Caenorhabditis elegans: one gene and its partner. The protein of the gene in region 2 interacts with the protein of the main gene of each other region in a pairwise test. Each region holds a gene or a part of one and is shown on either strand. Other genes may lie near its edges.

Evidence for each region. Proteins that work in one complex are often made in the same cells at the same time.
Region 1: the proteins of mpz-3 (region 2) and M05D6.5 interact in a two-hybrid assay, tested with the Caenorhabditis elegans proteins (one large-scale study listed by BioGRID).

Annotation. Positions count from the first base shown.
Region 1 is NC_003280.10:8,480,250-8,484,004, reverse strand, and holds M05D6.5 (HIG1 domain-containing protein), read left to right. Parts: upstream 1-1,801; 5' UTR 1,802-1,810; coding exon 1,811-1,951; intron 1,952-2,028; coding exon 2,029-2,177; intron 2,178-3,104; coding exon 3,105-3,246; 3' UTR 3,247-3,518; downstream 3,519-3,755. Other genes in the region: taap-1 (TAil-Anchored Protein), read left to right, coding at 741-857, 906-1,117, 1,243-1,399; lact-4 (Beta-lactamase-related domain-containing protein), read left to right, coding at 3,532-3,683.
Region 2 is NC_003280.10:6,563,610-6,567,364, reverse strand, and holds mpz-3 (PDZ domain-containing protein), read left to right. Parts: upstream 1-1,968; 5' UTR 1,969-2,014; intron 2,015-2,044; exon of another isoform or gene 2,045-2,117; intron 2,118-2,211; coding exon 2,212-2,310; intron 2,311-2,493; coding exon 2,494-2,574; intron 2,575-2,623; coding exon 2,624-2,818; intron 2,819-2,862; coding exon 2,863-2,997; intron 2,998-3,046; coding exon 3,047-3,247; intron 3,248-3,315; coding exon 3,316-3,531; 3' UTR 3,532-3,571; downstream 3,572-3,755. Other genes in the region: dbd-6 (DB domain-containing protein), read right to left, coding at 191-231; F18C5.5 (Vegetative cell wall protein gp1-like), read left to right, coding at 704-737, 1,097-1,163, 1,205-1,648, 1,698-1,821.

The DNA.
Region 1 (3,755 bases), 1.9 Mb from region 2:
TTTTAGTGCACTAGACACCAGACAGACGGCGGCCTACGTGACTTATCGCGCGTTTTTCGGGTCCGAAACGTGAATCTTGCGAAGAAAAACCCCGCCTAAAAGTATCATTAAAGCATGCGAAAAATGATGACAAAAGGAATATTTGCCAACATGGTCCCTCATTACTTTATTATCTTTATCTTCCTTTAGGTTCTTGCTACTTGATATTCTATAGTACTAAGTAAGTTGCTCGTTATTTCCACGTTATTCAATAATTTTACAAAGAGAGAGAGTTTGAAATTGATGTTTGAATTATTCGAAAATTAATCAGATTGTAGCATTTCAATTAATACATAAATTACATGGCATGCAGATTCAAAGACTATTGATGAAAAATTCAATTTGAATCACCGCGTTTCAAGTTTATCAATAGAGCGTAGTTTCATCTTTGCGGGGTACTGTATTATTATTAATTTAATTCCAATTTATTCGTGTTTTTCTGTTATTTTTCTTCAAAATGCAGAAGATATTGATACTTTTTTTCTTACCCTGAGGCACTTCTCAACGAAATAAAAAATTTCTCTGCATCACTGAGTCTCTCCTATTTCCTGTTGCGCCCGGAGTTTGTGTACTACATTTCTCTCGTATGCTGCGTTTCAAAAACGGGCGGTTTCTCAGCTTTTTTTCATCACTATTCTTGTTTCTTCGGTCAGCTTGCACTTTAGATTTAAAATCGACAAAAATTAAAATTTTCAGTCAAAATGCTGTCATCGGTTATAAGATGCGGAGGACAGCAAGCCTCATCGCGAATGACTCCGGCTGTTTGTATGGCAATTCGAAGATTTGATCCGCTGGAAGCTAAAATGGCTCAAAAAAAGGTAAGCTAATTTGAATATTATACTATTTTCATACTTATTCATTTTCAGGCCCAAATTATCGAACAACAACAAGGCCAGGAGGTTGACCAACATCGTGTGACCTACGCAACCAAAGACGATTTCAAACATTCTGTTCAAGATTCTCGTTTTACTGGAGCAGCCGATTCAGAAACTGGACAAGTACCTACAAAGTGGCAGAGAAAATTTTTGGTGATTACCAAACTTTACCCGTCTGCCGCTGATATTCCACCATATGTTCAGTAAGTAATTTTCTTTGAAAATCTTAAAAAAAAAAGCTTCATAAATGCATATTCCTGGAATTAATGGAAAACTTCAAATTAAAAAAAGCCGATAAATTGTCTAAGATAAATATTTCCAATTTCAGCCATGGAACAATGAACAGAATGCACGACAGAATGCGAGTAGTCTTCATTGTCACTGCTTCACTTTTCTTCTTTTCAACATTCTACATCGCTGAAAGAGCAATGGCTCAGAAAATCGCACGTGATCGTGATGCAGGAGTAGTTGTTACCAAGATGTAAATTTCGAATTTGTTTGTTTGACCAGAATCAAATTGTACAAATTGGTAGAAATGAGCAGTTATAGTAGAATATCTTGCTTTTTCTTAAATAATTCGGTTAAAATCGTGTCAAAAATTAAAAATTTTAGCGCTCAATTTCTTATTCAATTTTACTAGTTTGGCTCCTCGTTTGTTACGGTTTCTAAAATCTTTTTTTGTAAATTATGTGTTTCATAAATGTTTGAAAATTGATTAATCTTATTTTAGTTTTCGATGAATCCGTTCAATCGGTCCGAACATTCATATAGTCTTCTCAATGTTTTTTTTTTTTTAATTCATTTTATATTGCTCTAATTTTTCTATTTACGCGTTTCTTTGTTATTTTTGTGTAAGTTCTATTTCTTATTATAGTTAATTACTCTCTTCACACAAAATGGGCATGTTCCGTACAGCTTTCATGAACGTCGCCGGAGTCCACGAGGAGCCGAAGAAAGGATCTTACGAATGGAAAAAAGAACATATGACACCACAACAACTCGCAAGAACTATGGATAATGCCGAGAAATACAATGGAGTGAGTTCTTTGAAAATATTATTTAAAACAATATAAAGTTAAATTTTGTTTCAAATTAAAAAAAAAATTTTTTTCAGATCCCTGCAATTCCAGTCGACATTGGATACCACAGCGGAAAGAACACAGGCGGTGCACAGAAGACTGGAGTGGTCTCAAATGCTGCGAGCAATCCAGGAGTCATTCTTGGAATGGGACTGACAACTGCCGCCCTTTTGGGAATGTTCAAGTAAGTGTCAAAATCTTAAAAATAAATAGTTTTAAACGTTGTTTGAAAAACTAAAAATTTAAACCTTTTCGAAAATATGTTTAGGAAAACTTGTATTACCCAGACGCGAGGTTACGCGACTTTTGCCCCAGAAATACGGTTTTCGGTCTCGACACGAAATTTTTTGTTCAATACAAACGGGTGTGCGCCTTTAAAGAGTACTGCAATTTTAAACTTTTGTCGTTGCCAAGTTTTCATCGATTTTTTCAAATGGCTTTTATCACGACTTGAAACGAAAAACTATGAGAAGTCGATAAAAATTCCGCTGTAACAAAAACTGAAAACTACTCTTTAAAGAACAACATCCGTTTGTATTTAAAAGAATTCGTGTTGAAACCGGGGGTCGTCAAATATTTTTGTGATTTTTTGATATAGTTACTGTGCTTTTCACGTGAATCTCGTTGAGTGCATAATTTGTCTGAACTTTTGATCTTCTGTGTTGAGCAAATGAGCACAGAGAACAGATTAGATGAGACACCACCTGTCCGATAAATTGGGCGGAGCATAGAGGACACCAGACTAGTCTCGGACGTTCGAGAACAATTACTAATTTAGTATATATATATACACATTTTTATTAGTATTTACAAGTATTAATCAATTTCATTTATGTGACCTTATCAGTGTTAGCTAGAGTGTAGTCTACCACTTTTTCTGCCAAATCCAGTTTTCTCTCATTTTAACACTTTTTGATCTCTGTCTATGTTCTATACTTTAGTAAACAATGTATGAACACGTGATTAATAATAGTGTATCGTTGTTAAAAATTTAAAATATATCAAGTTAACTTATTTTGGCAATTAAGATTTAATGAAATTTTAGAGGAATCTTAAATTCTAAAATTTATTTATCAAAAAAAAACACATAAAAATTCAAAATTTTCTATAGATCCTCATTTCTTGGTGACAAAGTCGGAGCTCAAAAAATGATGCAGTACCGTATTATGGCCCAATTTTTCACTGTCACCGCTCTTGTCGCCGGAGTGACCATTTTCGGTGCCACGTATGAAGATGAGGAGCACCAGAAATGAATAAATTGTATACTTTCTCTCTTTTCCAATTTTCTTATGATTAGTCTCTTTTTATTTGCTTTCATCTCTTATCATCACCGACTAGAACTTTCCTTCCGTGATTTGAGGTTTTTTTTTGGAGTTTTCCAAAAAATGTGCTTTCAAATATTTTGAAGCCCGGGTTTTCCCTCGTCTCATCTCTTTCAATTCTTCCCTGTTGCTGAATTATATTGTACGCTCCTTTCACTCTCAACATCCACCTCTCATTTTTTGAATAAATTTATCAAAATTCATGTTTTAGAGGCAATGCTCGAAAAGTTTACAATTACACATTTTCTAATTTTCCTTCTCGGATTTGCATTGGTCATTTGGAATTCAGATTCTGGAAGTAAACAGACAGAAATTCATGTGGATGGAGAGTTTGATCCAAAATGGAAACATGTGGCAGATATGTTCAGGTTAGAAATTTTCAAAAAATGTAGTCAAAAATTGAAAGTTTGTGAAGTACTATTACCCATATTTGAAATTTT
Region 2 (3,755 bases):
TTGGATTGATAATTTCAAAAAGTTTTGTAAATTTTTCCCTTGACGATTTCTGTAGCTCAGCCAAATTTTTCAATTGGAGAATCTTTTGAACTAGATGATCTAGATTCCACTAGATGTTTTAGATGCTTCGGAAACTTTTTATTGTGTCAAAGTTTTAATTTAAAATAAAACTTTTTTCATATAAACTTACATAACGAATAGTAGACAGAAAAAGAAGACGCACGTTCGCATTGTACTGCGAAAATAAAAATGGTACGATTATAACAGTACCACCTCGAGTATCATCTATGTCCCGCCCATTATTTGAGTGTCCTCAAATTTGCATAGCATTGTTGTAAAACCATGTCACAAGTGGGATACTTTACAAAGTATATGTTAAAAATTGACAGCGAACACTAATGTTCTGAACAACATAGAATTAAATAAAAATCTAGCAAGTTCAATATCACGATAATCCAATATATCCCTGTTTGTAAAAACTAATGTTAGCTGAACTTTCATCTTATTGAAGACAGTGTACAAGTGGTGGATATCCATTGTCTTTTTTCATTTTCAACGGGAATTTTCATTGAGATTTCCACAAAATGATGGCTAATTGATAAGGGCAAAACGAGAAATCGTAGGAAGAAAAGTGATAAGAAGCGACGCCTTCGAGGCTTATTCTATCTTTTTCGTCTTCTCATTTTTGTGGAAAGAATCAACAATGAAGCTTCTTCTGTTAGCTGTTTGTGTCATCGGTTAGTTTTTCGATTGTTTCGTTGATTTATCCCTAAATTTAGCTCTAAATGGTAAAGGAAATATTTATCTAATTGGGTTAAAATATGTTCAAATTTGTTTTAAAAAATATTAAGAAAAATACATAACTAATTTATTTGACATATCCAAAACTTCTTAGTCATAACAATTTTACCCAATATGAATTCTGCTTGTACGTCAATAAATTGAAACGTTCTATAAATAACCAAATTTCGATTCTCATATTTTCTTCGTCTTGCACGAAATCGCAAAAAAAACCAGTCCAGAAAAATTGCTTCTATATAATTTTCAGTTGATCAATATATTTGACTTCAAAATTCAATTAATTTCAACATTTCAGGATTCGTTGCATGTTATGAAGTTGTACCGAGAGCAAGTGCTTTAAGACCGAGAGGAGATGTTCGAAGGTTTAACATTTATTCCATTTTTTCTTTAATCTATTCTTCAGATCACCCCTCCCATCATTATCGGCATATGCTCCTTTTGCTAAATCTCTTCGTCCAGCTTCTACAGGAATCCGACGTGCTCCAGCAGTTGTTACACTTCCAGCTCAAAAAGCTAATCGTTCAGTGAAAAGAGCTCCAGCTAAACCACTTCCAATGACACTTCCACTTCTTCCACCACTTCTTCCACTTCCACAATTCATTCCAGTACCTGTACCAGTCCTGTCTGCAGAAGGCCTTCCAACTCTTCCAACTCTTGCTCCACATACTTTCCCAACTTTCACTCCAATTCCTGGAATGCCAACAATGCCTGCATTGACAATGCCACCAAGTTTCCAACGTCTTCTTGGAATCACAACTACAACTATGAAACCAGCTGAAAAAGCTATGGAAACTGTTCAAACTGAAGAATCTGATAATGACACAACGTCCGAAGCTAGAGCTCATAGGTGAATTACTCAAATCAGGAGAAAATAATCTAATATTAATTAATTTCAGCGCCCCAACATACAGCAAAGATCTGAATACAATTCGTTCAAGACTTTCAAAGTTTGTAAGAGGAAGTGAAAAGAAAGTGACAAAAGCAGAAGACAACGCTGATTGGATTGTTCCATTCCATTGATCTCATCAAAATATAATAATTTTAATTAATAATAAATAATTTAATTAATTTAATAAATATACCCGCGTGACATCGTTTGAATTCGTTTTACACAGAAAAAAATCAGAAAATAAAAAGTGAAAAGAGAAACTGAATCAGTTTCAAATATTTCCTTGTCGACAGTTGCTTTCATCTTCGCATCAATCTATTCGGGGTAAGTTAATATTCAGACTGCAAAAAATCAAGCCACCTAGGGGACTCGAACCCCTGACCTTAAGATTAAAAGTCTCACGCTCTACCAACTGAGCTAAGGAGGCCAGCGAGTGCGCTGGGTCCAAAGGCATAGACGCTCGACTAGTTACAGGAGACGCGAGAGTGGGTTGCTGTGAGATAGACACGTACTATTTACAGATGGCAACCAACAACAATAGTTTTCATGTAAAAGGAAAAGAAGAAGTACAATTCGAACGGAAAAATGTGGTTGTAGCATGTGATGTGGTCAATGGAAAGGTAAATAAAGAATCCAACACAGGGCTCGCGTCGAGAGCCGAATAAAACTTCAAAAGCCCTGATGTGTAGAACAGTAGAACACTCTTTAATAAATAAGAAGTCCGGTTGCAATTTCCTTCGAGGCTGTAAAAAGACTCATTTTCAATTCAAAAATCGAAGAGATCTTGAATAATCACATTGCAGATTACATATGTGGATGTGAGTAGCCAACTGATGGGTGTTCTATTTGCTGGTGATGAGATTCTGAATGTCAATGGAGAAACTGTAAGGAATATTTTAAGATTTTCCGTTTCAACTAATCAAACATTTCCAGAACATCAAGACAACTGCTGACTTTATCCGTGCAATTAGTGCAAAACTTCCCGGAAAAGTGACAATTGAATTCATGCGAGACGATCATTGCCTTGTCACTGAAAAACCAATGCCACCACGTCGTCCAAATACTCAAATGGTTGAGTTGACTTTCACTTATCGTGGAGGTGCTGCAACAGGGATTATCATTCATAGAGTTAGTAATCAGGGACAATTTATACTTTCATGGATGATTTACAGATGGCAGTTGATCCAAAAACTGTGACTATTTCAATGGTTCAATCGGCTTCCAATGCGTGTCACTATGTCAAGGATGGAGATATTCTTGTTAAAGTTAATGACATTTATGTTCTTGATCGTGACTCTGCTAGAAAGGTATTGTAGTATTTTTCTTATTTTATTTTAGTAATTAACTTACTTTCAGCTTCTCTACGCGAGTGTCAACAACACAAAAACGGTCCGTCTTACATTGGAAAGATCCACAACTACTGATCCACTTGGTCCTGCTCCACCGCCTCCCGATGGTGCACAGAGCACACCTGCTGGAGTGAAGAAATCTGGAAATTCAGTGATGCTTCCTCCTCCAAAACCACCCCAAGGAAAAGCCAACAAGCAGTTTGATGTGGTCAGTTTGAACCCATTTCCTCTTATCATTTCATTTACCAAAACATGTTTTTATTTTCTTCTTTGCAGCTTCTTCCTCCTGATGTTTTGGAGATTATGAAGGCAAACAAAGATTTCTACAAGAAACCGTGCAAGAATCCTCCATGCATCATCAAAACAACCGCCGCATCAGCCCCTGCTCCAGTTCCAGCCACCTTGCCATCGGATCCTGCCCCAGAAGTTCGCATCCCGTACATTCCGTCTCCGAAGCCCCTGAAAATGACTCCAAAACGTGTGGGATCTTAACTTGAGAAAAGTGTTCGAAATAAAGTTTTCAAAAAGTGTTTGTTTGGTTGTTTACCGTTCTATCCATCCCTAACCTATGCCTAGAGACACAAATATTTACGGTCCTTCAACCTGTGATTTGAAAAAGGCAGGCCTAATTCTATTTATTGTTGAATGCCAGATTGGTTTCTCCTCGAAACCCTCATGAATCTAAAACCTACAGCTTTTACACATTATTTGAAACA